Linked DNA regions of Arabidopsis thaliana. The protein of the gene in region 3 interacts with the protein of the main gene of each other region in a pairwise test. Each region holds a gene or a part of one and is shown on either strand. Other genes may lie near its edges.

Evidence for each region.
Region 1: the proteins of PUP14 (region 3) and PGLCT interact in a protein complementation assay, tested with the Arabidopsis thaliana proteins (one large-scale study listed by BioGRID).
Region 2: the proteins of PUP14 (region 3) and AT2G22425 interact in a protein complementation assay, tested with the Arabidopsis thaliana proteins (one large-scale study listed by BioGRID).
Region 4: the proteins of PUP14 (region 3) and ARGOS interact in a protein complementation assay, tested with the Arabidopsis thaliana proteins (one large-scale study listed by BioGRID).

What each region holds. Positions count from the first base shown.
Region 1 is NC_003076.8:5,270,572-5,279,129, forward strand, and holds PGLCT (plastidic GLC translocator), read left to right. Parts: upstream 1-1,904; 5' UTR 1,905-2,082; exon of another isoform or gene 2,083-2,323; 5' UTR 2,324-2,332; coding exon 2,333-2,588; intron 2,589-2,731; coding exon 2,732-2,846; intron 2,847-2,918; coding exon 2,919-2,986; intron 2,987-3,098; coding exon 3,099-3,231; intron 3,232-3,314; coding exon 3,315-3,414; intron 3,415-3,514; coding exon 3,515-3,627; intron 3,628-3,708; coding exon 3,709-3,802; intron 3,803-3,876; coding exon 3,877-4,030; intron 4,031-4,148; coding exon 4,149-4,295; intron 4,296-4,370; coding exon 4,371-4,444; intron 4,445-4,548; coding exon 4,549-4,637; intron 4,638-4,720; coding exon 4,721-4,835; intron 4,836-4,924; coding exon 4,925-5,107; 3' UTR 5,108-5,241; downstream 5,242-8,558. Other genes in the region: AT5G16140 (Peptidyl-tRNA hydrolase family protein), read right to left, coding at 16-74, 151-224, 300-350, 440-507, 591-675, 755-946; AT5G16160 (uncharacterized protein), read right to left, coding at 5,242-5,284, 5,368-5,521, 5,602-5,665, 5,865-6,005; AT5G16170 (Core-2/I-branching beta-1,6-N-acetylglucosaminyltransferase family protein), read left to right, coding at 7,355-7,930, 8,521-8,558. UniProt on the Arabidopsis thaliana protein: May be involved in the efflux of glucose towards the cytosol.
Region 2 is NC_003071.7:9,510,628-9,518,081, reverse strand, and holds AT2G22425 (Microsomal signal peptidase 12 kDa subunit (SPC12)), read right to left. Parts: upstream 3,388-7,454; 5' UTR 3,094-3,387; intron 3,010-3,093; 5' UTR 3,004-3,009; coding exon 2,725-3,003; 3' UTR 2,408-2,724; downstream 1-2,407. Other genes in the region: AT2G22426 (uncharacterized protein), read right to left, coding at 853-1,065; AT2G22420 (Peroxidase superfamily protein), read right to left, coding at 3,598-4,191, 4,263-4,454, 4,538-4,741; SLO1 (SLOW GROWTH 1), read right to left, coding at 7,002-7,454. UniProt on the Arabidopsis thaliana protein: Component of the signal peptidase complex (SPC) which catalyzes the cleavage of N-terminal signal sequences from nascent proteins as they are translocated into the lumen of the endoplasmic reticulum. Dispensable for SPC enzymatic activity.
Region 3 is NC_003070.9:6,830,114-6,838,062, reverse strand, and holds PUP14 (purine permease 14), read right to left. Parts: upstream 5,739-7,949; 5' UTR 5,638-5,738; coding exon 5,595-5,637; intron 5,500-5,594; coding exon 4,361-5,499; 3' UTR 4,226-4,360; downstream 1-4,225. Other genes in the region: CNGC8 (cyclic nucleotide gated channel 8), read left to right, coding at 1,485-1,531, 1,630-2,221, 2,304-2,516, 2,613-2,926, 3,004-3,352, 3,432-4,178. UniProt on the Arabidopsis thaliana protein: Purine permease implicated in ATP-dependent cytokinin translocation that controls the spatiotemporal landscape of cytokinin signaling. Depletes ligands from the apoplast, which leads to a suppression of the cytokinin response.
Region 4 is NC_003074.8:22,125,984-22,133,542, forward strand, and holds ARGOS (auxin-regulated gene involved in organ size), read left to right. Parts: upstream 1-3,521; 5' UTR 3,522-4,057; coding exon 4,058-4,450; 3' UTR 4,451-4,489; downstream 4,490-7,559. Other genes in the region: AT3G59890 (Dihydrodipicolinate reductase, bacterial/plant), read right to left, coding at 171-390, 495-508; AT3G59910 (Ankyrin repeat family protein), read right to left, coding at 4,796-5,593, 5,674-6,106, 6,446-7,050. UniProt on the Arabidopsis thaliana protein: Promotes cell proliferation-dependent organ growth. Takes part in the AXR1-dependent auxin signaling pathway that requires ANT during organogenesis.

The DNA.
Region 1 (8,558 bases), on a different chromosome or scaffold from region 3:
AAACCAAAACCGTACCTATGCTTAAACGAGGAAAGTTTCGACGACCATCCAAATGCCCCATTACACTCTTCACTCTGTAACAGATATAAAAGGTGACATCAGTTAATATATCATAGAACACATTTAGATGTTCAAGAGGTATATTCATACCCGTTGTGATAGCCTTGACCTCCTTTCGGTTGAAGTCTCAAAACCCCATTTGGTAAAGCCATCTCATCGTAAATCTAGTAGAGAGAAACAAAAGTGTTCATATGGAACATAGTTCTGGATTCAAGGGATGCTTAAGTCAGTGACTTTACCATTAAAATGTGGCGCAATGGTACTCGATAGTGTGAAGCTAGAGATCCAACCTTTAAAACGACAACAGAACAGTTTCAGGTATGATGATTATTTGATCACGCAGCTGATCTTTGCAAAGTTATGAACAGAAAATACAAACCGATTCGCCGCTGAAGTTCATATAAGTCTGAGGTTTAGCCAACAAGATAGGTACATCTTCAATAGCACCTGTACTGATTCATACATAGAACCAAAAAGTCATCAGTTTTATTATTCTTCAAACCAAAGAACCAAAGCAAGAGAAGTAGAACCTATTCCGATTAGAGCTTTGGACTGTATAGTGTTCATCAACACCCCTTCTTTTCTAGCCAACACATCGATCATCTCGAAACCAACCTGAAAACAACACAAAGTTGTAGCATTGCCAAGATCAAATCCAGCAATTAAGTAAAAGAAAAAGATTGTGTATCATTACATTGTGTCTTGTTCCATGATACTTGTTTCCTGGATTGCCCAACCCAACGATAAGCCAAGGAGTGTACTCTACTTTGAATCTATCATCCTCACCACCAGAAGTAGATGAACAAACCCGAAACCTCTGTTTCCGGAAAACTGGCTTTTGCGTTTGAAAATGGTAAACACTTGGTGTATACGTTGGGCACAACATGGAACTGTTGTTGATTCAAAGACCTATTGAAATTGAAATGACTAGAAACTTTGAGATTCAATACTTGGAATATACATAAAGATAAAAGCTTTTCAGGATATAATGAAATTCGAAATCATATAACAACTGAGAATCAAAACTTAATGAAACCCATTAACAGAGATACAGCGCAGATAAAAAATAATTGAAGTGTAATCGAACAGAGGACTCAGCAAAATTTCTGGAGAATCAGAGATTAGCAATGAGCTACAAGGATTACACAAAAATGTATTTGTGGTTTATATTATGTTATAAATTTTCAGTAGAAGAAGGATAAGTGAGAAGGAAAATAGCTTACCTCTTCTTCTTCAGGATTTTTCGAAACAATTTCGGAATTTTCTTTTGCGAAGACGTTGGAACGAGATAGAAGTAGAACGATGAAATACTGAGACGAAGATGTTAGAAATTGGTCCCGTTTTGTATTAATGGGCTTACTAATATTAGCCCACAAAAATGATGGGTTAAATAATAGTGGCCCAAGTTACTATGATTTTTATACGTCACCGTTACTATGCTCAATGGCGGCACGTGAGTACTATTGAATAACACGTGCGGCTATATACGTCATCCAAAATCTAATCCAGAAAATCCAACGTTGCCAAATCGCCAATCCTGCGGCTCTTACGTAACTCTTTTACTTCTTTTTTTCTTACCCTTTTATCGACTAATTTATGTCGAATAATAATTGTAAATAATTTTCTCAATTTATAAACTCAAAAAAATTTCCTAATTAGTCCCGCCACTTAGTTCGATTTAGTTGATACTGGTTGATTTATTCAAATTTCCTAGCAAATATTACAAAATTACCAATCCAAAATTGAAAGTTGCATCACATGCATTAAATTTCATGATTTCTTTAAAATAAGAAATGAAAATACTCTATTTTCCGTATGGTTTTGGATAAATATGAATTATTACACAAAAATCCAAAACTAATAAGGAAACAAAATTGCATTATTTATTTTTTGGTGCGTTTTAATTTTTTTTTTTAAACGACAATAAGCTCCACAGTGAGTTCTTCTCAGCAATCACAATCTATCTGGTTTAAGCCCTCACTATCCTCTCTCTCAAATCGCGGAGTCTCCGAAGTTTCTCTGGTAATTTTCAAATCTGAAGTTTTGCTTTGGATATCACGATTTTTGTTAATCAGCCGCGATCGAGAAGAGCGTTTTTACTCTCTCGTTCGCATCAATGCAACATATTTCCCAATTTCGTGATGTTGCGTCTTCATCGTTCCTTACTTCTCTCTTTTTGAGTTCTGTTTGGTATAAATGCGATCCTTTTTTTTCCTTCCTTGCCTAATATTTCTCGTTTCCTTGCAATTACGGTTATAAAAAGTCAGACAAAATGCAGTCGTCAACGTATGCGGTTAAAGGAAACGCTGCGTTTGCGTTTCAGAGACGGACCTTCTCTTCTGACAGATCGACGACTTCTACCGGAATTCGCTTCGCTGGTTATAAGAGCTTAGCCACCACCGGGCCACTCTACTGTTCTGGTTCTGAAGCCATGGGAGCGACGCTTGCTCGTGCTGATAACGGGATCCAGAGCGTTATGAGTTTCTCTTCTGTCAAAGCTCGATCGGTCAGAGCTCAAGCCTCATCTGGTTCGTCTCTTCTAATGCTCTTCTATCTTTGTCTATCATTAGATTCTGTGATTGCTTACAAGTTCTTAAATACAATTTGAAGAATCTAATGTATAGTTTGGGATTTGGACTAATCATCTGATGGTTTGAGGAATGAAATGTAGATGGAGATGAAGAAGAAGCTATACCTCTGAGATCTGAAGGGAAAAGCTCTGGAACAGTTTTGCCTTTTGTTGGTGTTGCTTGTCTTGGTGCTATACTCTTTGGTTATCATCTCGGGTATGACTAAATACTACACTGTTTTTATCTTGGTGTGATCATGGATGATGATGTTCTATTGGACTGAATCAGGGTGGTTAATGGTGCTCTTGAATATCTTGCTAAGGATCTTGGGATCGCCGAAAATACTGTTTTGCAAGGCAAGTATATGATGATCCACTTCTTTACTCCTCCTGTCAACGGTAAAATGATTCGTGTTTTGATTAGTAGCCAAACTCATAATTGGTATTCTCTATGATTGGTGTTGAGCAGGATGGATTGTTAGTTCTCTGCTTGCTGGTGCTACGGTAGGTTCATTCACTGGAGGTGCATTAGCTGACAAATTTGGACGAACAAGAACTTTTCAATTGGATGCTATCCCGCTTGCCATTGGAGCTTTCTTATGGTAAATTTTCAAGCACTAAGCCATACCTATTGGTGAGACGTTAATTGATTTCTTAACGCATTGGTTCTTTTTTTATTGATTAGTGCAACAGCTCAGAGTGTGCAGACTATGATTGTGGGACGTCTGCTCGCTGGAATTGGAATTGGAATCTCATCAGCGATTGTACCACTTTACATATCTGAGGTTGTTTAAATACTGATTTTCATTATTTTTGCACTTTTAGCATAAGATGTTAGATTTGTTTATATGTTATGTCTCTGAAGCGTTTGATGATGGTTGTCAGATATCACCAACTGAAATCCGTGGAGCACTCGGATCTGTGAACCAGTTGTTCATCTGTATAGGAATACTTGCAGCCTTGATAGCTGGATTACCCCTTGCAGCAAACCCTCTATGGTATGTAACATCCCTTTTTTATTCATCATCTTTTATTTTGGGTTGCATACTGTGATAAGTTTTGATATCGTGGTCTTCTAGGTGGAGGACGATGTTTGGTGTTGCAGTTATCCCTTCCGTTCTATTGGCCATAGGAATGGCTTTTTCTCCAGAAAGCCCAAGGTGGCTCGTTCAGGTACTCTCAAGGAACAGATCTCAACACTTAAAATGAGATCAATTTTTGACAAGTCAAGGAAATCAATTTTGCAGCAAGGAAAAGTCTCTGAAGCTGAAAAGGCGATCAAAACTTTGTATGGTAAAGAAAGAGTGGTTGAACTAGTTCGCGACTTATCAGCCTCTGGCCAAGGTTCTTCTGAGCCGGAGGCAGGATGGTTTGATCTATTCAGCAGCCGCTACTGGAAAGGTATAGCAAGACTTGGTGGAGATACATTGTTTAGTTTGTAATAAAAGCTGACGGATTCCTTTCAAAGGTCATATCGGATTGATCAATTTACATAGTTTCTTGTCTGTTCTTGTTGTAGTTGTAAGCGTAGGTGCGGCTCTCTTCTTGTTTCAACAGTTAGCCGGGATAAACGCAGTTGTGTATTACTCCACATCGGTATTCCGTAGTGCGGGAATCCAATCAGATGTTGCAGCCAGTGCTCTCGTTGGAGCATCAAATGTCTTTGGTTCGTTTCCCCGTTATGTTCTCATTAAATTCCAAAAATAACCAAAAAAATAACACGATAAAAATCTGGTCGCAGGCACTGCTGTTGCTTCATCGTTGATGGATAAAATGGGAAGGAAAAGTCTTTTACTGACAAGCTTTGGTGGAATGGTACATGTTTTTATTAAAATTCTTAGCCATATTCGAAAATCTCAACCCTCATTAGTATTACCACAACAGGACTAACTTGGATTTTATGGTTTTGTATTGAAAAGGCTTTGTCAATGCTGTTACTCTCCTTGTCCTTCACATGGAAGGCTCTTGCTGCCTATTCTGGAACCCTTGCCGTTGTTGGAACTGTTCTGTAAGTCAATCTCCTCTTAACACTTCCTTATAGTCTCTCTGTATAGGACTTGACTGACTCTTATGCTCGGTTGTTTAAATCAGATATGTCCTGTCATTCTCACTTGGTGCTGGCCCGGTACCGGCTCTTCTTCTTCCAGAGATATTTGCATCCCGAATCAGAGCAAAAGCCGTCGCTCTTTCTCTCGGCATGCACTGGGTATATACATATATCTATAGGTTTTATGGGTTCAGAACAGAGTTTCTTCTCTCTGTTTCTAATGTTTTGTTTCTCTTTTGCCCTAACAGATATCAAACTTTGTGATCGGACTATACTTCTTAAGCGTTGTGACTAAATTCGGAATCAGCAGTGTCTACTTGGGTTTTGCTGGAGTCTGCGTCCTTGCGGTCCTCTACATTGCAGGAAACGTCGTCGAGACTAAAGGTCGATCACTGGAGGAAATAGAGCTTGCTCTTACATCTGGAGCTTGAAATTAAACAAAAGAAATCAGCAGAACAAAAACCAGTTTGTTTCATCATTTAGTTTGTGAGTCTTTCTCTAATCTGCTACTCTTAAATTGTACAATGGACGACGTTATCAATAACGAGAAATCTTTTCATGACCACTACATGTTGGCTTTCCTTTCCCACCTCTCCCTGGTATCTAGCCTGTTTCAAAACAAAAAAAGCATGGCATTAGCACGGTTTTCTCAATATGAAAAAGAATTCTAAAATTAGCGAAATAAGCTCACCCCCAAAACAGTTTTTGTGGCTTCTTCGGTACTGTGACTACTGTCTTGTTATGATTCTGTTCTTCTAAGGTAGAAGAAGAAGAAGAAGTTGGTTCTTTCAACTTTTTAGAGCTTTCGCCATCTTCGATCGCTTTACTCTGAGAATTCTTGCTCGCTGCATTTCAGTGTAGAGCTTTTAGTCTAGTGAATATGAACTGAGAATTCTCAAAAAAAGAGAGCTAAATATATATATACCTTTAGGTTTCTTCTTATGAATCTTTGCATTAGCTTTTATTTGCATACGTCTCTTGTGTAGCTCCTGTAATCTCAACACAACCAAAATGGCTTCAAATTCAAATTGCTATGTACATAGTAATTCGGTTGAAAGAAAAAAAAAAAAAACTGGATTGAACAGTTGATAGAAATTCGAATCAAGATGATTATACGAAGTCGTGCTTACAATCTCATTGGGATATCTGAAGATCAGAAACATTAAAAGTCGAGGCAAAGAATCTGACCTGTAATTTGGAAATTTGTTTCTGGGTGAGGTTGGATCGATTAAAATTGGGTTGAAGAGATAGTGTTGAAGCTAATAGAGCTTCTTTTCGATTCTCCTCTGCTTCTCTGTCAATTTCCTCGTTTGTCCTCGTCGTCGCCATGGCTTCTCCGTCGGCAACTTTGAGAATGTTAAGAAACCGACGTCGGAAACTTTCCTTTCCTTTTTGTTGGGGGATTAAATACCGAAATTACCCTAAAATATTATGCTAGTTTAACTAACTACCCGAATGTTTTGAACTAATACATAATTGACCTAACACTTTCTCTAATTATCAATTACACCCAATTGTTTTGGAATTTTTGGCGTTAGTGAGTTACTATATTAATGAGAAATCTTAATTAATGTATCATAGATCGTGCCGAAAATAAATGGTCTATGTCTAACAGCTTTGAGTACAAGTAAAACTCTCAAGCTTGGTCTTTAATTACTTTTGTGCCTTGACTAAGCAATGTAATTAGACCTTACGACCTTTAAAAATCCACTAATCTAGCATGCCGATCACGACCGCAACGCTTACTCTCTGTATTAATGATTTTTGTAATCAAAACTTCATATTTGACTATTTAGCAACAAAAAGAAGGTTCTGGCAATGTGTCGTCAAGTGCACCTAAAGTTAGGCATGAAATATTGTTCCTTCCATGGTTTGTGGGTCAGCACCGAACATTTCGCACTCTCTTCCATCTCAGTACTGCAACATTTTGAATAATTAACTCGTCCAGGTTATTTATGAAGAATTCCTTAACTTTGGAGTAATCAGGTTAGTTTTTTTATTTGATATTATTTTGGTTTGAGTTATTTAATTTGCTATTGTATTGGTTCGGTTTAAGTTAGACTTTCAAAAAGAAAAATTAGACAAAATTGAACCCACGCACACAGATAAACAATTCAATAGATCATTCAAGTATAGGTTTGAAATACAGAACTGCTCGGTTATATCCACCTCTCACCAAGGTGTTCAATGTGATTCGGTTAAATTAAGATTAGATTCAAATATTCATATTTTCAACAGCAACAGAAAAAAAAACATATTTTGACAACATGCCACCCTTAGCTTATTTTGACAACATATCATCACCCTTACTTGAAATTGCAATCTCTTACTACACTCCGTCCTATGGGCAAGATAAAATTTCGTCAAATCGTGTAAATGTTAAGATCTAAAACCTAAGTTTTGTATCTAACACATGATCGTTATATACATATATTGACCTGAGAACAACTAAAAGTCAACAGGTCACGTCTTCGTTCCAAAGTCTACTCTTTTAATATACATTTATATAACTTGCAAGAGAGCTCCTTTTGACGTTGTCCAATACACTCCAAAAACCTTGTTTTTTCTTATACAACTTGTAATAACACATTTATAACAACTGGTTGCAAAATCCTTAACGATCACAACAACCTCTCTCTCTCTTTTTCTCTCTCTCCCTCTCCCTCTCTATCTCTACAATGAGCATTAGTGATCATAAGAGCAAGAAAGAAGAAGAACAGTACCCAATGATCACAAAGCCCTTGAGATTGATTCTCTTACAAAAGGGAAGTTATGTCTTAAGCTCACTCTTTTTTGTATTCGGTTTCTCGGTTGGTCTCTTCCTTTGTCTGCAACTAAAAGCCGTACACATGTCTACGACGACGACACAACGACAACCCTTATGGTCTACCTTATTATTCAACCACACGGTCCACACCACAGAGATGGATATCAAACAAGAGTTGCAACTACAAGTACTTCAACACAACATGAGTGATCAAGAACTCTTCACCAAGGCCTCGTCATTATCATCACCAACATCATCCTTATCGTCATCATCATGGTTAGGGAGGAGACATAATAATGATGGGAAGATGGCTGTGAAGGTGGCTTTCATGTTCATGACAGGTGGAAGACTCCCATTGGCTGGCTTGTGGGAAAAGTTCTTTGAAGGACATGAAGGGTTTTATTCCATATATGTTCATACTAATCCATCTTTTCAAGATTCTTTCCCCGAAACTTCCGTCTTCTATTCAAGAAGAATCCCAAGTCAGGTGATAATAACAGCTTTAGTTTGTTAATTATATCTTTCTCTTTTCTTAAATAAACCTATTTAGGTACCCCTATATATGATCAGTATACTACTAATCAGAAATTATATCACTAGTTTTCCAAAAACACATCACTATACTTTTCCAAACATATCTCTTCGATTTGACAGGTTGGTTTTTTCACATGGCACGTGCATTGATCTTGATTCGACAATTGCATAATGGTCCATTAAGGCATGAACCCATTTGATATTATTCTACCATAAATACATTTCTTTAATCATGTTAATAATATTCAAAGATAGACTATTCTCAACTTTTGTAAGAACAAATGAACAATACATAGAACAGTTTCAAAATGCATCTCAATATAAAATTTCTAGATGTTATATAAACTGAAAAAGGGCGTAGGAATGCTTTTTATGTTTATTAAGTTTCTAGATATTCTAACTAATTTTCAAGTTAAAAGCGACAACAAATCTAAATTCAATAAATCTAACAAATTTAAAAGGCTTAAATTTGTATAAACAATTTTTTAAAGATTATTTTAACAATAATATTGATGTTGATTTGTGAAACTTTTTGTCAATCAGCCGGTGTATTGGGGAACATCATCAATGGTAGACGCAGA
Region 2 (7,454 bases), on a different chromosome or scaffold from region 3:
GCATCGATGGTGAAACGTTTTCAATATTTCAACTAATATCATATAGTAATATTTAAAAAAGCATATTGTCCTAAATTTTCAAAGATGATTGTATATTTTATTCAAAGATAAAGATATACAGCTTTGCAGTCACATTAATTTATCAAATTAGAAAATTTGAGATGTGATCGTACCAATGGTCTCTTTCAAGACTTTTAACTCTGAAAACTTTCAAAATTCTAATTTGGGAAATTTAGACTTAGTTGCAAATATTCTCTAAATTGCTTAATTCACAGTCAATTTTCATCGAATTTATTTTTTTAGTTTCTTGTTATTTAATATACAACTCAATCTAAGTTAAAATACAAAAAAAAATGATTAATCACAAAGTTTAGGTAAGTGTTAAAAAAAATTGAATACGATTAGTAAGACCCATTGAAGGAGACAGCTTATACGGCTCGTATCGGCTTAAAAGATTAGCTAAGTATAGTATAATTTGTCTTGTCTCGAAGTATATGGCACGTGTCGGTTATTGCAAGTGGTCCAGAGGGAATAGAACGAGTCAGCAATTAATGGGACCTATCTCTTTTTTTGTTTGCAGATATTCAAAGTCAAAAAATTCGGCCTTTTAATAAAAAAAACATTTTTGGCCAAAAAGAAAACTTTATTGCTGGCTAAGAAAAAAGATAAAAACTTTATCATATGCATGTGTCTTTACATATGCACACAACCAGTTTACTTTATATGTAGAGATTTACTAAGAGTTAGACGTGATTAAATTCTTTCTACTTTTTTTTTTTTACTTTAACATCCAATATATTTTTATCAATTTAGTTGTATAATTCCACCGCAAATTCAGTATTTTAACAAGTACTATACATTATAGAGAAAAGAAGAAAGAAGAAAGAAGAAGAGTCGCTGTCGCTCCGGTGAGGATTTGTCTGAGAGCGGCGATGTCTCGTGCTTGAGAATGCTACTTCCCTTTGCTGTCTCCATCAACACTTCCCGCTTCCCACACGCCACGCCAATATCTCTCTTTTCTATCCGTTGATTTCTTTGACTTTTCCACCTCTTTTTTATATGCATTTTAAAAAATAAAAAGAACTTACAAATTTTGTTTACTATCTTGCGGAAAAAAGTATAAACATATAAAACAATTACAAAATTGAATTTTTTTATGTTTTCACTTTTCACTGGTATCTTAGGTCAGATTCTGTAAATTTATGTATCTTGATTGATTATCGTTTTCTTAATTGTTATATCAATACTTATGCTTAGATTTACGTATAAACTACTATAATGTATAATCTCATCGAAGTTAGGATAAGCATATAGATATATTCGTCAATCCCCAAAAATGCTTCGATGGTCAATGTCTCACAGTCTCAGTGAATGCAACAAAGTTACTTAATGAGTGAATAACACAGAGGACAACAGAAGATCTACGTTAAACACGGATCTAGTAAACGTGTCTATTATCTCATGAATATATCAGTCTTGTAAACTTTTTTTTTATATTAATTGTGTGTGAGAAATCACAAAACCTTTATTGTGTTGAATGTTGGACACAAAAATGTGGTATCGTAAAACAATTATTTGATGGGCTTTAAACAGGCCCTTTCATATTTATTGATGGGCTGAAGCTCAAATAAGATCCAAATGAACAGACAAAACCAAACAGAAAAGACTTCTCAATGTCCAATGAAGAATTATGGAGTCAACTTGTTATGTCTTGCGTATGTTTCCCAAATTTTCTTGTCCTATTCTCTTATGGAGTATTAGAGTAATATGCTTATTGTATGGTTTTTCAGGTTCACAACCTTTTACCCAATTCACACAGAAACCTCTTTTCTTGACCACATTGGTAATGACACTAGCCGAGCATTCAAGATATACGTTTGTCATATATACCTTGTATTTGATTTTGTCTCTAGAGTTGACTAGTTTCTTACAATCACTGAATTTTCCTCTATTGTTTATCCACATGATGTATTTTTTTTGCGATACCATGTAGATTTTGGCTATTGCTACTTCCGGAGAGCTCTCTCTTTGTTTGTGAATTTGCTTCATCCTTCTGGTGAAGGTATACTTTTCATATCCTCTGCTTCTTCCTAATGCTGACCTAACTAAACCACTCCTTTTTCTCCACAGCTCATTTACAAGCATCCTGCCAAATGTTGGTTCTCTCAAATTCTGATTCCAAACCTGTACGCGTTCGCTGATTCAACTGTCATTTCGTTTCATAAGCCTATGACCTACCTTTAAGCGTTCGCGTTCGCCAGATGACTCGAATCTCCCGGAATATGAACCCGTGCAAATCCTCTGACCAGCGACTAGCGGAACAGTTTGGAATCACACAAACTATTTCTACTTCGACTCAAGAAAATAAGAAGGAGCAAAGCATCAAAGACTAGCATTGGTTTTTGCACACAAGCTTAACACAGAGTGTAAATGGATGGTGTGATATTTATGTACCATTTTCATAAAAACTGAGACTTTTGTGATTCATAAGACTTTTTCATCTAAAACTCTCTGATGATAGATAATCTACACAATTCAGTGAAATTGCCAGATTACAGCCATAGCCATTGATTCAAAAGCAAATTCCTTTGGCAAAAACAGATAATTATAAGAATCAACCCAGAATATTCAATTCATAATTAAGATTCCGATCCACAAATATCTCATACAAACAATTCTGAGAGAGAGAGAGAGAGAGAGAGAGAGAGAGATTCAGAATCAGACCTATTTCTTAGAGAATTTCTTCTTCGAAGCAACACTGACAACTTCTGGTTTGGGATGCTTCTCGGCTTCGCTCGGATCTAACCATTTGAGAGGATGAAGATTGTAGAAAGGCCAATTAGGTACAGTAACCAAAGTCGTGAGAACAACACCACCGGCATAGATCAGCATCATCGTCCTGAACGATTCCGTTGTGTAGCCAACAACCACCGCTACAACGCCGGAGATCACCAGTAAGATCTGCATCAGCTGCTCCACCAGTTTCTGTCCTTGCCAATCCATTTTCTTCTACACAACGAAATCAAAAACCATTAGCGATTTGAATCCAAAGTTAAACAAAAGAGAGAATCTGAGAACCCTAATTGCACAAACCTTTAGCGATCTGATCTCTCACTGAATCTGTAAACCTGATTTTCAACAATGGGGAAGAAAAGAAAGGACTCTTGACATTTATGAGCTAAGACCACAAAATCGGTTTAAAAGTAAACCGGATAAAGTGGACGGTCAGATTACTCTATAACCGGGTGAACCGGCGGTTTTTAATGTGCCTTAATTATTTCGAGATTTTGTATATGTGCAAATTCTGAAACCTTGAAACAAGGAATATTTACATTTAAGTTTCTTTGTGTGTACCTCAGAATTAGAATGTTGCTACTTGTCCAGTCCATAATTTGTTTATTGGGACAACAACTTCAGTGATTAGATAATGTTTACTATTTTATAGACTGGTGTGACCAGATTGTAGCTTTAGCAGTGACCAGTATTCATAAACCAAAATCAAAGTTTTGGAGAACCAAGATCCATGGCATGTAGCTAAAAAGATTTGCATCAATTTAGAAGTCATAATTAAGATTTCTTCTCTTTACTAATGATAATTCAAGATACAAGCAATACATCAATAGGCCTTCTATTAACAACTCTACAATTAAACCTAATCTCACCAGGTCTCCCAGATTGCAAATCACCCAACTTCACCATGCCTTCTGCAAAAGCCCTAAAGAACTCATCTTGATCCTCACTAAACATCTTCACATACTCTCTCGTCACTAGATTCGTGTACAAAGTCTGATCAGAGTTAAGAAACCCTCTCCCTGAAACCAAGTCTTTGAAATACTGATTATCAAAAACCTGAGGTGTTGCATCTAGATCTCCAGTCACATTCTCATCTCCACCCAAAGGACAAAGCTTATCAAGCTTCTTACGGTAACTCGGTTCAAGAGCTGGATCCGGTTTACCAGAACCGGATTGGTTATAAAGTCTGAACATGATTGAAAAACACCGACCTTGACCTATTGAGTGTGACCCTGATAAAGCAACCATGTCTTTTACAGAAAGATTGAATCTTTCGAAGAGATCAATCAAGAAAGTTGCGTTGGCTCTTGGACTTGGCATTATATCGTCGGAATCTTGCTGACTCGCTGTTAAACTGTCTTTCCTCCCTAGCTTCACTTCCCAATCTGGTCCTCCTGTCTGGTTTTTTCAAAGACCAAAATTACAAAACCGAGATTTCACTAAACCGGGGAAATTGAATTTTGACTTACAAGAGCAACGGCGTCACGAGCGGCCATGATAACGATATCGGCACAAGAAACAGTAGCTGGACAAGCTTTCTCTAGAGCTTCTTTAATGTCGTCAACGACTTCGAAAGATCTTAGTGAATCGATGTTGGAAAGTGATAGTTTTTCACCAAGCATGTTTGGTGTGTCGTCAAGCAACAGAGATGCGTCACATCCCTGAATTTGATGATTCAAAGAAAAATTCAGAGAGGAAAACAGAGTAAAGATCAAGAACAGAGAGAAAGATTTATAGTGTTTACATTGACGAAACAGTCGTGAAATTGGAAACGCATGACGGAAGCGACGCTTCTTGCTTCTTTGATCATTGCTTTCTTCATTTCTCTTCTTACTATGGATTCAGCTTCAGGGCATGTCTCGCTGTAGAATCTTGGTCGGAGAGTTTCTCCAGTAACAACCACCGTCAAAAGTGTTAGGTAGAGGATGAGATGGGGAAGAAGAGACATACTTTTTTCTTTTTTGGTGTTGTGTTTCAGTGATTGAAGAAGAAGTAGAGACTTTGTTTGTTGGGTTATAAAGAGGTTTTTGGTGGTTTTCGAGAATGATACTAAAGGCTTTTGTGTTTATAGATGGAATTTGTGCAAGTGTGGTCTCTGGTGGTGGTGGGCATTCCAATTTCTATAATTTATTTCTTTAATAAATAGAAATAAATAAATAAATAAATAAAGAAATAAATTTTCTAATTATAGAATTGGTGCCAATGGGGGATTAGTGTAGTAATTTGGTAAAATTATGGGTTTGTGAAATTATTGAATGATGAATCTGAAGTAATGTTAAATGTTTGTTAAGTTTGGATTATTGCAGTGTATATTAGCTGGCAAAAATAAAGAAGATAAAAGGATAATTGATCAAATTTTTTTTATAAAGGTGTGAAACTTTTGTACGTAATTGTTAAAATTGGTAAAACATCCATTATACAGTATTTAGATGAACAGTACTACTCTCTTTGTTTATTATTGTATTTTGTAGGAAATTTTTTTGATTCGAAAAGATAGTCATTTTTAAAATTTCTATGCAATATTTATTACTAGTTATTATTGATGTGTAAACTTCAAGAAGAATAATATATTTCTAATCAACTTTTAATATGTTTTTTAAGATGTGTGAAAATCCTAAAAATACATTAATAAGAAACATCTTATGAAAAATAATTACTATTAAAAACATCTTAAGAAAAATCTAAATATATATTCATAACATACAAAAATAATTACTACTCCATATTAATAAGATACATTAATACTAATAGTGATTATTTTTGTATAATATGAATAGTTAGATTTTTGTTATTGTATTCAACAACTAGTTAAATATTTATACAAGAATTTTGTTTATGTAACGTATACAAGAAATAATGCTATAATTAATACTATTGATAACAATAATGAAAAAATTGTACTATTTATGAAATGCGAATGATCTAGCTAGAACCAAACATTAATCCTGGTCAATGTTCATAATCAAATAGTGTAACTAACACACATTTATTGATAGGCTTTTAAAGGTCACGATGAATTTGTGAGTGAATTATTCAACTCTTGATTTTAAACCTAACGTATGGTCAAGGCACTTTTTGACTTTGTAAAAAGCATACAAAACCTTATCTTCACATTCACGTTGGTTGGCCAAATAATTCATACTATATTTTTTTTTACAAAAAAGCATGCATCTTTTATTCATTTATTGTTTAATACTTTAATGTGATCAGTGTCGTCGTAGTGCTCAATGCTATAGTTACTCTACGGCTAATAATTTAAGGATAAAATTAATAAATTAAGATAAAAAGATTAGCAATATAATTCTAAATTATGCATAATTTACTTAAAATTTAGATGTCAATTTTTGTTTTGATTTTTTGTATTTTGTTATATAACAACACTTTAGTGGATAAAATATTATAGTGAGTTGGTGTCTTGAGATAAGAGAATTGTTGTGAGAAAGGGAGGCAACAATTTCAGGCCATTGGTTCATATTTTTTAGCAATCAAACAAGAAATTATCTGAAACTCGAAAAGTGACTGACACTACGGAAGTCGTCATCATCATGACCTTGCGTTCTGAAACTCTAAAAGGTACTGATACGTTGCCGTTTTTAAGAGATTATGTTGTCCCCATCTTTAGTTGTCAATTTTTGGTTGAACCAAAAAAAGAGGTTGTCAATTTTCGTATGCAAATTTATTACACTTCGGAGAAACGGTCACAATTAATTAATACATAGGACTCGGAAGGTATCTAGTTTCCTAAGAAATTTATAGAATTCGAAATCAGGAAATGGGACGCACATGGAGGTCATTGTATTTGAGGTTCACCAAACCAATCCTTACCAAAAGAAGAGAGGATATCAATAAATATTGACCCACATTTTAATTCATTAAATATGGGTTTTTTAATATTCCTTCCGTTTAATAAAGAGTATCATTTTGACATATTCACACAATTTTTTTTAATTATGTATATATTTGTTTCTGTTTAACAAATAATAAATAATTTATTAGTTTTAGGTTAATGTTAAATCAAAAAAACTCAGTGTATAAATCATGTTGAAAAATGTAAAATGACACTCTTAATGTTACTATGTTTTTATTAAACTGGCCAATTAATACACAGGAGATGTCATTTGAGTTTTTTTTTGCCCTCAAACCCATTTCTATACTAGTTTAGACCAAAGATGCCTTAATACAAAACTCAGCAGTTTCATTCAGTCCCATTAGTTATTAGTAATCTCATATTCCGAAAATAGTACACTCAACGAGCTCCTCATATGCCTTCCAAGACAATGTAAGCGATCATAAATTTTCTCAGATTCCGGTCTCGATTTATCCCTAACGATGAACTCACAGACAATTCCATTAACCTCAATGGAACTACAACCAGGAATCTTCTCTACACCTCTCTCGTTCATCATCCTCCTCGCTCTCTTTGCATCTTCCCACATATTAGCCTCTCCATACATGCCATCCAACAACACATAGATCCCGCTATCACTGGGATCAAGTTCGAGAAGTTTCTTAGCCGCTTTCTCTCCCAGCTCAACATTACCGTGCATCCTGCAACCGAATAATAATGCTCCCCAAACCGCAGCATCTGCCTCCATTGGCATACTTTCCATGAGCCTGTCTGCTTCTTCTAATAGCCCGGCTCTCCCTAGCAGATCTACCAT
Region 3 (7,949 bases):
TTTTTTTTTTTCTTTCGAATATGTCTGAATTATTTTCAAAAAGTTTGGTCTTCTATATAAAATAGGGTTTAAAAAATATATTCTAATTTTCTTCTGTATACAAATAGGGTTGGGTTTGATAGTGAATTAGCTTTCTGGCTGGTGATGAACTCGAAGCTACTTTTTCCCAGTTTATCCGTTTGCTTGCCGGATCTAAACAGGAACTTTACTAGGTTTCGTGTTCCATTGAGCAAACAATTTCAAATCTATTTATATATAAGAGAAAAACTTTCTGTTACCCAATCCAATTTCCGCAGTAAAACAGTGGAAACCATCATCATAGTTTACGAATAATTTGTTATGTTTACATTTATGTAATATTAAAAAAAATATTTGTTACCGATATTTTTCTTAACAAGAGAGTAGGTTACTCCCAAATTTCATCACAAAAAGACCTTCAACGCTTGTATCAATTTATGTAAATCCAATCGTATCGTTCTATTCTTTCATTAAAATAAACAAATTTTTAAATTTGAGAAATTTTCAATTGTCGGCGTTTCTTGAATGAGCTTGATCAGTTTCAGTGTATGAGACAATCGGACTAATACTAATCCTTGAAGAAGTTTTGTTGTCGTTCTCACATCACATGGACATGACGACTTATAGCGGACGTTAGGTTTAATTGTTCTGGAGAAGAAACATCAAAATTATGAGGACAACATAGTGCATGTGAAGTATTAACTTTTGTAGATGAATGTAAATGGAAAGTATTCTAGCTAGGGTACTTAAATCTACTAAACTACTTCTCTACAAAATTTTTAGCATTTTAGCTATTTGGATGTAACGTGCATGATGTGACTATCATTGGATGTAGTATTATAGATTAACCTAATCATAATTTTGTAACTTGTTCGATATCATTTTCATATACACATTTGTTTATGAAATGTTTCAAAAGATTTTTTATTTATTTATTTAGAATTTTCTTTTAAAGACCAATTTTTGCCTAGTAACTAGTAAAAAGTAGGTGGACAAAAAAAATACTAAAGAAAAATGGTATTAATTATATCTTTAAAGGCGGTTTGGCAAATTTTGAAAAATGGAAAGAAACAGTTACTTGTTTAATTATTAGAGAAAAATGTGGGAAATTATGTTGGAAATAAAAGGATACAATTGGGTCAAGAAGCATAGTAAAAGTCAATGGTCAATGTATAAAAGACCACATAGAGTTTAAAACATAGGTTTTTGATGCATCCCCCACAAGGCCACAACATCTGTATACCCAATTCGATTATGACTGATATGACATATTATTTATCAAATCCTTTTCCAAAAAGCAAAAAAAAAGGTCTTTACATATAAAACAACGACCTTACGAAAATGTTCGTCCCTTATTTAGTGTTTAAGAAAAGTCTTACATTATATAAACTTTTTTCTTTCTCTTATTCTGACAACAATTTAGCTACTTTGTTTTCTCATCAATATGTGATCCATTCTCCAAGAAAATGTACAAATCTCAATATATAAGTGGCCATAGAGAAAAATTCGTAAGGTAGAAGAACAAAATCAACGAGATCAATCTTTCTTTCACGTTGTTAATTAATTCAGATTTTCTTAGATCTATGAATGTTAATTGTTCTTAAAATACAGATTAGATGATACAGATTCGAGGGTTTCAATGTCATCTAATGCTACGGGAATGAAGAAGCGATCATGTTTTGGATTGTTTAACGTAACTAGTCGTGGAGGAGGAAAGACAAAGAACACATCAAAATCATTTCGAGAAGGTGTTAAAATCGGATCAGAGGGTCTAAAAACGATCGGAAAATCATTCACATCAGGTGTAACAAGAGCTGTTTTCCCTGAAGATCTAAGAGTCTCCGAGAAGAAAATCTTTGATCCTCAAGACAAAACACTTTTATTATGGAACAGAATGTTTGTTATCTCTTGCATTCTTGCTGTCTCTGTTGATCCTCTGTTCTTCTATCTCCCTATTGTCGATAACTCAAAGAACTGCATTGGGATTGACTCTAAATTAGCTGTGACAACTACTACTCTAAGAACGATCATCGATGTTTTTTATCTTACACGAATGGCTCTTCAGTTCCGTACCGCTTACATTGCTCCTTCTTCTCGTGTGTTTGGAAGAGGTGAGCTTGTGATCGACCCTGCAAAGATCGCTGAACGGTATTTGACTCGTTATTTCATTGTCGATTTCCTCGCGGTTCTTCCTTTACCTCAGGTAGTTAATAAAACGCTTCAATCTTTTTTGTTTTGTGCATTGTTTTCAATTGAATAGATGATTCTTGGTGGTGTTGATGCAGATTGCTGTGTGGAAGTTTCTTCACGGATCTAAAGGAACAGATGTATTACCAACAAAACAGGCGCTATTACACATTGTCATCACACAGTACATACCAAGATTCGTTAGGTTTATTCCATTAACTTCAGAGCTCAAGAAAACAGCAGGAGCTTTCGCTGAAGGTGCTTGGGCTGGTGCTGCTTATTACCTCCTCTGGTATATGCTTGCAAGTCACGTAAGCATTTCAAAATTCATCCATCAGCACTAGGTTAAATATCTATTGTTTTTTTTTTTGGTTCTGTTTTTAAGAAATGTTGTTATACTTTGATAGATAACTGGAGCGTTCTGGTACATGTTGTCAGTGGAACGTAACGATACATGCTTGAGATCCGCTTGTAAAGTCCAGCCTGATCCCAAGGTCTGTGTTCAGATTCTTTATTGTGGCAGCAAATTAATGAGCAGTCGCGAAACCGACTGGATCAAATCAGTCCCTGATCTTTTTAAGAACAATTGTTCTGCTAAAAGCGATGAGTCTAAATTCAACTACGGGATCTATAGCCAGGCTGTGTCTTCCGGTATTGTATCTTCGACAACGTTTTTCTCCAAGTTTTGTTATTGTCTATGGTGGGGTCTCCAAAATCTCAGGTACCTTCCTTGGAAAATCGATGAATAGCTGTTAGACTGTGGTGCAATTTTATTGACTTGGGTGTTTTCTTGTATAGCACGTTAGGTCAAGGGCTGCAAACAAGTACATATCCAGGAGAAGTTTTGTTTTCAATTGCAATTGCTGTAGCTGGACTTCTTTTGTTTGCTCTTCTCATTGGGAATATGCAAACTTATCTTCAGTCACTTACGGTTCGCTTAGAGGAAATGAGGATTAAAAGACGTGATTCCGAACAGTGGATGCATCACAGGTCACTTCCACAAAACCTGAGGGAACGAGTCAGACGTTATGATCAATACAAATGGTTGGAAACAAGAGGAGTCGACGAAGAAAACATAGTCCAGAGTTTACCAAAAGATCTTAGAAGAGACATCAAACGCCATCTCTGTCTAAATTTAGTTCGCAGGGTAAGTTTTCAGAAATGTGAATTGCCTAAAGATCCTACACTTCATTCACAAGGAACAATGTTCTTTCTTTTTTTTGCAGGTTCCTCTGTTTGCTAATATGGATGAGAGATTACTAGACGCAATATGTGAGAGACTAAAGCCAAGTCTATACACAGAGAGCACTTACATAGTGCGAGAAGGAGACCCGGTTAACGAAATGCTCTTCATAATCCGAGGCCGGTTAGAGAGTGTAACAACAGATGGTGGAAGAAGCGGTTTCTTTAACAGAGGTTTATTGAAAGAAGGTGACTTTTGTGGTGAAGAGCTTCTGACTTGGGCACTTGACCCTAAAGCAGGCTCAAACTTACCTTCTTCCACACGAACAGTGAAGGCTCTAACTGAAGTAGAGGCTTTCGCTTTAGAAGCGGAAGAGCTCAAGTTTGTGGCTAGTCAGTTCAGGCGTCTTCACAGTCGTCAGGTTCAACAAACTTTCAGGTTTTACTCTCAACAATGGAGGACTTGGGCTGCTTGTTTCATCCAAGCCGCTTGGCGTAGACATTTAAGAAGGAAAATCGCAGAGCTTAGACGTAAAGAAGAAGAAGAAGAAGAAATGGATTATGAAGATGATGAATATTATGATGATAATATGGGTGGTATGGTTACAAGGAGTGATAGTTCTGTTGGATCAAGTTCTACATTACGTTCCACGGTATTTGCATCAAGATTTGCTGCTAACGCGCTTAAGGGTCATAAACTAAGGGTCACCGAGAGTTCAAAGAGTTTAATGAATTTAACAAAGCCATCAGAACCTGACTTTGAGGCTCTTGATACAGATGACTTGAACTAAGTACTTATAGATTGCACACTTCCAAACATTTTCATTGTAAAACATACAAATTTACATCTATAACCAAAGCTGTTACACACTTACACTTACACAAGATAAACACCTAGAATATATGATTAGATATACACACAAAAAATCAAGGGAAATAAAAAAACTTTCTTTAGAGATTCAAGAATCCAAACCTAATAAGCCATACGATTGTCTTTGTGAAGCCTAAAGAAATAAGCTGCAGCGCTTAAGACGGCAGTAACCAAGGCAACACCTTTGAAGGCATCAAACTCATCATCCATGAAATTGAAGAAGATCACCACAAGAACCGACACAATCGGCCACGTAATGACACTGATCACATTCGACAACACGCTCGAAACAGAGTAGACAAGTCCAACAATCCCAACCCAATAGACCTGCCACGAAACAGCTTGACCAACCATAGCCATCACATAAGAACCTTTCCCTTTCGAGAATCCATTCATTTCCCTCTTCAAATCGTGTTGCTCACCGGCTATAAGCAGACCCACGACGGAGATGATCGTAGCAACGAGAGAAGAGAAGATAATAACTTCGAAAACAGAGGCAAAGCTTGGTTTTTGATTGGTTGATTCAGTTCGTTTGAAGATGTAACTGTCGAAGACGTTTTGGATGTTACAGAGAAGAAGAGCGAAACAGATTCCAGCGAACAGAGCAGCCCATGAGCCTCTAGCGTAATTCTCCTCTGCTTCATCAGGCTCACCACCGAATGAAGAAGACAGAGTAAGAGCTCCGGTGATGATAGCTAAGATCACAGAGATAACAACCCATCGATTGAATTTGATTTTGTTAATGAAAGCTGCGAAGATAGGAGTGAAGAAGAGCTGTGCTGTGTAGATCAGAGTGAAAACACCAAATGGGATCTCGAGTTTTCCCATGGCTGCGAGTCTTCCTTGAACGGACATGATAATTCCGATGCAAATGTAGATCACAGCTAAGGATTTTAAGTGGATTGAATCGGAAGTGATCGGAGGTTGTTGATGGTGGTTGCGTTTGTTCTTGGTGATGAAGATGAGGAACGGGAGAAGAAGGAGAGGGAAACCAACAGTTTGGAGAAGAGATTGAGTCCAAACGCCATCGTTTTGACGGTTTTCGTTGTATTCGCTTCGGTTGGTTTTGTCGTAGTAGAAGTTTTCGAGGAGTTTCGCTATGGATTGACCGATGATGACGAAGATGATTGAGATGGTGATGGTTGGCCAGTGGTTTGGTTTCCGGATTGTGTTTCCGGTTTGGTTCATGCGTGTGGTTGAAGAATCACGCTCGATGTTGATAGGTATTTGCACAAATTGTTCTGCAAAAAGAAACAGAGGAAATTAGAATCAAATTGTTTTGTAAGAAGAGGAGATCAAGAAACGAGAGATCTGGTTTGTTGATTCTTATTATTACCTGGAGGTTTGGTCTGGAAAATAGGTTGTTGATTCTGAGCCATGGATTGGAACTGATTGTCGGAGATTCTGAGCGGATTTGAGTTCAATGTATGTCGGCGATTAGATTTGGTAATATGTGATATTTGGAGTGGATGATGTTGTGGGATAAAGGAAAGAGAAGGGTTTATTATATATGGGCACGAAAAGTCTACCCTGGCGGCGTAATGGTCAATCAAGCGAGCCTCATGTCTACGCGTCGTCGTTTTCAACTTGTTCCGGGTTGTTTCGTCATCCAAAAAAGTGTGTAAACAACACTTAGAAGTAACTTATTCTTGTCTTTACAAAATCCAAGCAATAATCGACAAAAGATGATGAGAAATATTTGAGGTTTTGAATCTTGATTGTTTTCTATCAACGAATATTCCGAATTGGATTTATGGTTCGAAGGTTATATAAGGAAATGGTATAGTTAAGTTTAAGTTATATTGACTTTGTTTGTTTTGGGGGTTTGACCTTTGGGATTATCCAACATCCTACGTTTCGGAAATTTTGAACTAACACGATGCCCACTTGGCAGCTCACTACTTGTAATATGATACTCTCTTAAATGCGTGTCTTCTTATGACTTCATCTTAGAATATCATACTTCATGTAAGGATTTTGGTATATGACATTTTATAATGCTCAAGATATAATCCCAAAGGTGCAAGATTAGAATGAACTTGAACTTCGAATCAAATTGTTTGCAATAACTAAACAAATTTTGAACTCAGATTCAATGTTGTTCAACGTAACATTGATCATTTTTCAACCAAATGAGCTTCGAAAGTTTGGATTTTACAAAATAAGAGATTAAGGGTAACAAACAAAGGCAATTTCCTTGGTGCTCATTTGACACATTTTACTTAAGAATCATACAAAATCTCTATGTACACAATTGCCTCGTTTGACTATATAAACGTCCTCACACTGTTTCCACGACGCTATACCCATTATGACCCATAGGCATACATGCTCTCAAATATACACTGGACCCGTAATTAAAATAACATTTTAATACTTAACAAATTAGCATGTCTTGACCAAGAGACTGAAGCAGCCAAAGTTGTCCAGAGCAATAGCTCAAGTAGGCATAACCTATTACTGTGTTAATAGATTCACAAAGGCAAAACAACTATTACTAAACCTTCATGGATTACTCATCTATATAAGTTCTAGACATGTGTTTTGAATTCCCCGGTTCATCATCGGTACAATAGTTTCAGAACTAAAACGCTATGGGGCATTGAATTTGAAACTGTGATCACGCAAACTTCTTAAATAGAACACCCATTAGAACACCCATATGACCCATAGGCATAAAAGCTATCAACTACACTGGACCCATAATTAAAGAACACAGCATATCACCAAATCAACTTGAGGCAGCCTAGCCACAGTTGTCCAGCTTAAGTAGGCATAATCTGTCATGTGTTAATTGAATTCACACAGACAAAGCAACTATTACTAACCTTCATGGATTATACATTTCGGCATATCATCATCTATACCAGTTTTAGACTTTTGTTATAGTTTCAGTACTAAAACGCTATGGGGCAATGAAACTCTGATCAACAAAATTTCTTTAGATAGCATTTCCACAGGCTTTTCAATGAACATGCCACAACTCGAGAAGTGAGGATTTGGTATTAAAAGCCTTAACTTGCATCACTACATTATTCTATGATAATAGAGCCAATAAAGTAAAACCATTCTGTTTGACCAATCCAGTCATATGATCCGATGATCATAGAGGCAACCAATGATTTGGCATTGCAACACCGATTAAGGAAACTTCTTTAGAAATACCTTTCAATGAAAATGCCAACTCAACAAGCATGGATTTAGTACTAAGAACCTTACTTGTATCACTACATTATTCCTTAATCACAAAGGCAATAAAGTAAAACCCAATTCTTAATCAATCCAGCTAAATTTTCCTATGGTCATAGAAACAAAGAAGGATTTGGCATTGAAACTCCAATTAAGCAAAATTTCTTTAGAGAGCATTTCGACAGGCTTTCAATGACAATGCCAACTTGAGACGCAAAGATTTTGTATTAAGAACGATACTTGCATAGTTGCATTATTAGACTATTCTTTGATCATAGAGGCAATCTAGTAAAACCCTTTTCTTGATCAATCCAAATATAACATTCCTATGAAACATCTCCACCATCTATTCCCTAAGTTTCTGAAACTTTACACATTGATCAAATATAATGTATCCAATAACTGAAAACGCTTGAAAGAGAGACCAGAAGAAATTTCTAAATACCGATTTAACTATGGCTGCGATGGGAACACATCTTTCACTGCAGAAGCTGCGGTCAAG
Region 4 (7,559 bases), on a different chromosome or scaffold from region 3:
TACAATTACACTCTAGCAAAGATCTATGTAACTTACCCTAAAATATTTCTGTTGCTAGAAAAAAAAAAAAAGGCAACAGCTTTCCATCTATAAATTTCCGGGAAAATCACAATCATCAATGGAAATGCTAAATGTCACAACTCAAGAGTGTTAGGGAAGTAATCAGATACCATGATCGATATGCCGTTACCAGGCGCAACGGAATTTCCAGCTTCCTCGAAAGTCTCCGACTTTCCCATTGACAATACCACCGGAAAACAGCGTTTCACATTGCCGATGAAACTAACACGGCCTTTGAAGCCGAGTGGAACCATTTGATTCGTTCTAGAAGAGAACGAGAAATGGGGATGTACAGGACGGTGGAGAAACACACTAGATGCCGCCATTAGCCTGTGATCAAATCCCAGACAAGAACAACAACAAAAATGACAACTTTAAAGATCAATTCATCAAACCAATGTCGGAAGAGAGTGAATCCAGTTTAGAAACTGTACCCATTCGCCGCCATTTTCGGTTTCCACTTGGTCCGAGATTGCTGTCGAGCAACGAAATTAGAATTTATGTTCAAACCTTGTCTGAAAAATTCGAACCGGCGAACGGTAGGGTTTTAGACATTTTCCCTTTACGTCAGATCCAAAGCTTCTGGTTAAGGTTGGGGTGTTTCAACCAAAACCGGAAAGGTTACTAAAATTGAAAACCGGAATTTCTCTTCATTTTAATGGTCAAACCGGAATTTCTATTTAATTAATTTATCAAACCGGAGTTTCTCTACTTTTTCCTTAATTAATGGTCAGAGTCCGGATTTCACTTTAATTAAGAGGTCATGAATCATCTTTTGTTTTTTTGACAACGAAAATGTACGGAAACATTGTTTTTGTTGGAGCTAGCTAAAAATATAAAATTGAATATGAACCATAAATTTGGTATATTAGGATCAATGCAATGAACCCAATGACCGACCTCAGGTAAGCAGCAGATACATTGTTTTTTTCTCGTCATTCGTTTAATTTCCCTTTCAATCTGTGATTTTTAATTAATTAAAGCTTGATAAAATGAAAAGGTTTAACCCATAAAAGTAAGTATACCTATTCTTGTCTTTGTCACTAAGACATACAAACTTATGATACTCTGAACCTAATCATACTCCTAAATTTTGGAAACCAAATTATGAACACTTTTCAATTAACTTGTTTCATGATAACATCACTCACGAAAACGACCATTAATCCTATTAGACCAACCACAATAAGAGATGCTTGTCGGGGAAAGAATTTCAAATAATTTGGGTTAAATTTCCACAATAACAAAATAATTTGTATCAAAGGGGATTAAAAAAAACAAAAAAAAAAACAACAAACAAAATAATTTGTAATCTTTTTTTTTAAGCAAACAAAAAAGGGGATTAAAGAGTCGTACGAGGAATATTAATTAGGCAAGTTGGTTTGGTCGAGACTCGAGAGATCATGCATTGAATCAAAGGCAAAGAGCCACGTGACGTTTACATGTGGTTCGATCCTCAGTGTCTCATCGATCGCCTTTCTCCTTACAAATCAACCAAATTATACTGTAGTAATCTTTTTCTCAAATTATACTGTAGTAATCTTTTTCTCAAATTATACTTAGTATAATAATGGAATAATATTTCACAAGATAATAATCGAATAATATTATCAAATCTAAAAAAGCTGACCAAAACAAAAATCTTTAAAATTCGCGAACGTTATGAAACTGAGCATATGGACCTTGTTATTGAGATTATTGTAATGCATCAAGTGTCTAAGAATTAGACCAAAACATATGTCTATGCATATTGACTGTCGAAAATCAATTAAATTAGAAGTAGGGTATATAAAACAAGAAGAAGCAATATTTAAACATGACTGACTTATTAGTAAGACAGAGGGAATAATATTATGATAATACTTTTTTTTCTTGAACTTTTTGATACAGGTCCACTGGACACCAATCTAAATGTGTGCGGTGTTCAAGGCAATAATCATGCATGGGTTGCCATATATACACACCTACATCTTAACTTTCCACCATTATTTACTCATCTAGTCTTCAATAAACAAATTCCATTACTAATTAAAAACGTACAAATAGAGATGTTTAATCGTAATACTGTATATCTATCCAAGAACAAACACACAAGTGAACTGAATTTTAAACTGATTAATTCTTTTGTTTCCAAAGAACTTAAAAGGAAGTACTTTTATTTAAATAAAAAATAAATCTTAAACCGCACCAAATAAGTTTTGGTTACTAGTGTATACATTCAGTGAACATTTTTATGAACCCATATTTTAGTAAAAGTATTCTCTTGATTGTAGAGACAAACACTAAACACAAATAAATTGATTTTTTTAGTTGAGCTTATGCTGAGAAGATCCATTTGACAATTTTCTTTCCTTTTTTTGGTCAACGATTCAAGGAGATCCATTTTCTCATCCCTAAATATACGATTTTCGTATCTGTAGAGTAGGAGTAGAAACTAGCGGATCTTTCGATATAAACATTCTAAATTATTAATTTAGGGTTTGTCATCCATGCAAAAAACTTTGTTGGTACACGTCAAATAGTTTAATATCTGAAGCTGCAGTCTTCGTATATTGTTAATTTGGCCTAATTAAAGTAATGCTGCACAATTAATGTGGATAACTAGTGTTGTAGTATTGGTAATCTATCAATTCTCCCAAACTACTCATCGGCTTTTTTGTATCTAAAGGCCAGGAAAAAAACTAATAAAACCACTTGACGTTGTTTCTAAAGGAAATGGCCTATATGTTTCTCAATTCATTGAACCATGAATTATATTTATGGGATTAACTATATTTATATATTAAAAGTAACAAGTGATTTCCGACTGAGTTACTAGCGAAGTCTATTTGCTTTAATTCATCATTCTGTGAGAATTCATCCTCTGGCGATATAAACATCTTGGCTTTATTAAAAACCATCCTCTCATCAAGACTTCACATGCAAAGCGTGTTGTCACGTTACTATGTCCGATCTCCATATACACGTAAATATATAAAAATAGCATCGTGAATTAATTTGAAAAACATTCCTAGCTATTTAACTTGGCTTTATATATAGAAATATGAGAGCATATACATATATTGGCCCAACATTTCCTGGTAGAACAAGCGCATTCACCATATGAAGTGCTTCGAGAAGAACAACACTATGGGTCCTTATTTATCCATAAACATCGACAAAATTATTGGTAGGTACGTTAATAAAAATAATTTCCTCATCGCATCAAATATTTGATTATAAAATTTTAAAAATCAACCTGTATATTAATAACTGGATGATTCAAAATAAACTAGAAAATTATTTTCTTAAAAATTTATAGAATGGTAAAAAGATGGTTTTAAAACTCATTTATTTAAATACTACTTACATATTCAGATCAGAGGAGATTGTAGCTTACGTCATATGTTATATAAGTAAAAGAAATGGTAGAAAAAGTAAGAGAAAAGAAGACCAGGGGAGAAGAACCTTGTGATTGTGGAGGAAGACTAGGCCACACGAAATTCAAATCTTTCAAATTCAGCAACTTGCTTCTCCTCACATTTGTCAGCCCCTTTATATAATAAACGTTCCTCTTTTTCGTCTTTTCAACATATCAGAAAATCCCTAAATTCACTGAACCCTCTTCTCTCTCTTTCTCCCCCCATATCTTCTGATTCTCCTCCAACTCCTTTATTAATAAATTCTCCTCTTTCATTGCTACTTGTCTTCCTCATTTCCCTACTAGTACTTGTTTCACACAGTTTCTTGATCCAACCAAAACCAATACACAAAGCTTCTCAAACTCCTTCACCTCAAAGCTTCTTCCTTTACATCTGAATCGTTGAGTTAACTCGGATTTGTTCTGCATCCTCTGTTTCTGAATCGTGGGCCATCCTTATTTTGTCTCGAATTCTTCACCAATTGCTTCGATCAAGCTGCATTGGTTAACCAGTTGCCCTAAAGATCAGATCTTTGAGCAAAATTTTGTCACTGATCTTCTAAATCCAAACCAGACACAGCAAAACAACCTCTGTAGATGATTCGAGAAATCTCAAACTTACAAAAAGATATTATAAACATTCAAGACAGTTATTCGAACAACCGAGTCATGGACGTCGGAAGAAACAACCGGAAAAACATGAGCTTTCGAAGTTCGCCGGAGAAAAGCAAGCAAGAGTTACGGCGGAGTTTCTCGGCGCAGAAAAGGATGATGATCCCGGCGAATTATTTCAGTTTAGAGTCTCTGTTCCTATTGGTTGGTCTAACGGCATCTCTGTTAATACTTCCGTTAGTTTTGCCGCCGTTACCTCCGCCTCCGTTTATGCTGCTATTGGTTCCCATTGGGATTATGGTTTTACTCGTCGTTCTTGCCTTCATGCCTTCTTCTCATTCTAATGCTAATACAGATGTAACTTGCAATTTCATGTAAATCTGAAATTTATTATATGATGATCTTAATTAATCTTAGGGTTCTTAATCCAATGAAATTGATATACAATATAAATGTAAGTTATAAATATTACATTAAATTATCATAATATATATATGTGAGAATACTTCAACGCACAATAAGAGAAATGGAGGAGAAGAGACTGACATAATATAGAAGCATCATAAGAAGAAATTATACAAAAAAAAAAAAAAAACCTCACTTCGTCATCTCAAACCCAAATCCCAATATCCGTTAATTTAAATCGTAGTATTTATTTGCTTATTTTCAACTATTCGTAGAAATTAGAAAACCAGTGAAGCCCAAAAGCAGAATCCATTTGTTTCAATCGAAAATGGCGGTAAGGTGATGCTCCAAAACCGCCATAAGGTTACGAGTCTGGCTTACTTCCACAACTGCAACAGCACAGCCTTGAAGCTGTCTCACTGCTTCTACAAGCTGTCCTCTTAGCCTCTGAGACAGTAACCGACCGTCCGCTTTCATGCACTCTCTGTACAGCGGCATGTACGCTATTGCTACTCTTAGCGGTGCAGGAAGGTCTCTTAAGGATATCGCTGACTCCCCTTTTTTCAAAACTCTCATGAAATTCATGAAATCGTCATGGCTTTCTCTCATTCCTTTCTCAAAAGCTGACTCCGACCAGTGTTCTTGGAGAAACGATTTTAGATCTGAAGGAACGGATTCGTCTTCTGATGACCTTGCGATGCTGTCTGCCACTGAGTATGTAGCCGTGGAATCTCCTAAGAAGTCTGATTTGAGAAGAAACTCTACTCCTTGGAGAGACCCTCCGCTTCTTTCTCCTGCTGCTTTGAGGATTTCGATGCTGAGAGCGGTTAAGACAGGTGGTGGAACACGAGGGAGGAGATAAGCAGCTACCTCGACTTGGCAACTTGAAGTGGCCGCTGTTAGAGCCAAGCAAAGCTCCATGTCACGGCAACCTCTTTTCACAAACCATTGAACAACTTGCATGCAACCTCTCTCTGCTGCTCTCATTAAGGGACCCAAGAAGGCAATGGCATTACCTTCTTCCACTAGGCACTTCATTGTTCCGATTTTACAATAATGCGAGGCAAAACCAAGAGCTAAGTCCACATCAACATCTAAGCTGTTCCTTTGGGCAATCTGCTCCAGGAAATACAATATTTGAGCACGAAAAGAGACCTTCTATAAGTCTAGAAGCAATCAAAAGAATGGAAGCTTACCTGCAATAAGACGCGGACAAGTTCTGTACTACCAAAACGTGAAGCTTCAAGGAAACATTGGTTCACATTATCTGCGCCACCTTCAACAAGCATACCGAGCAGTCCCTGTATAACAGTAGCTGACATCCCAGATGCCCAGCCAGGATCAAACGAGTTGGAGAACAGAGTGAGCGGGAAACAAGCTGCATCAAAGGCCTCAGTGAAGTCTCTTCCTGAGAGATGGTTTCCTGCTAGATCTAAGAACATCTTGAAAGCAGAAAGTTGTAGTTCAATTTCAGCAGCCGAATTTTGGCTAACTCTATCCTTTGCCCCCTGGCATCGGGAGTGGAAACCTATACATTTGAGAGCCCATTCAGTGAACTTCTGAACTTTGGCACCAGCCTCTGCTTTTAGAATCTCATCCCCGTTGCACTCTTGGAGACGCTCATGCAACCTATACATCATGTACAAACCAAATATGAACTCACATGTTAAACAAACTGATTTAAAGTTTTCTTAAGCGGAATTGTTTTGTCTATGACATTTAGTAACATCAGCGCCCACAAATACTAGCAGTGTCATTTGATTATCCTGACAACCAATTACATACAGATATAACCAAACACTATAACCAGTAAGGAAAAATTTGTGCAGCTACAAATATACCTAAGGTTCCCGTGAGTGAAGCAAAATAAAAAGAAACAGGGAAAAATAGAAACAGCCAACCAGTCTAAGCACCCCAAATCTGCTTTAGAATTATACTTAAAGAGAAATTAAAAGATTGCATGATTACCTTTGAGCCATAACAGTTACTGTATCAGAAAGACTCATTGTCCGGCTCTGGCAAGCAGAGACACAAGAAGCGAGAAACGAAGTCCTAAGAGTAGCTCTAGTAAAGTCATGAGCACCATGACATATGATCTTCTTAATCAATCCGGTGATCCCCTGAAACTCAGGCTTTGTACTCAAGAACCAAACTGAATCTAGACCAACACACAACAAATCATTTAAAGTCTGAGGATCAGCCAACTGAATCAATCTCTCAGCAAGTTCCCAATCCAGTGAGGTAACAGCGCCTTGGAAGAGCCGTCCCAACTCAATTCTTTCTTGCCTATTAAGCTTTTTCTGCTGCTCAATATTTTCCTTCTCAACGAGATCATCATCCCCTTTAAAATTTAGTTTCTTAGCACTACAACCACAGCATTCTCCCGAATTAGTTCCAGCTGAATCCTTTCCTATTAAAGGTGCCTCTCTCGAAAAAACCACTTTACTCCCCTCGCCTCCTTCAAATTTCTGAGATGAAGCAATGGTTTCAGTTTTCATCTCGGAACAGAAAGGCTCATCAGGGTACATCTGATCACTTAAATTAATGGTATCACACACACCTTCTTTCTCCATCCTTGTCAAGTCTGTGACTTTCCAAATCAAACTAAAAAAAGAAGCACACAAAGCTTATTCATCCAAAAGCTATCCGCACAACAGACCACACACTAAACAAAGTATATAGCAAATCCAATCCTTGCATCATCGAAATCTACAAAACCAAAGGCCAAAACTCAAAACCCGGAACTGATCCCTATCAAAATCCACCAACACAGTTCATTCTAATCAGCGTAAATCCTCGATGCCTTCTCTTAAACGCACTATCTCTTGACCATGGGCATAGGAAATCAACAACAAACCCTAAAAATGAAACAATAAATCATCATCATCAGCAAACGGAAATCTATCAATTCGATTAACAGTGAACACGAAATCGGACACCCGATCAGAAAAAAACGAATCGAGCATCAGAAAAGAGCGAAGAACAACGAAATTAGCGTTATACAAAAGAAGCAGCACATGAACCATAGAAGAGAAAAAGAGAGAGAGAAAATGGTGAAACCTGGACAAGAGTTCCATTGAGA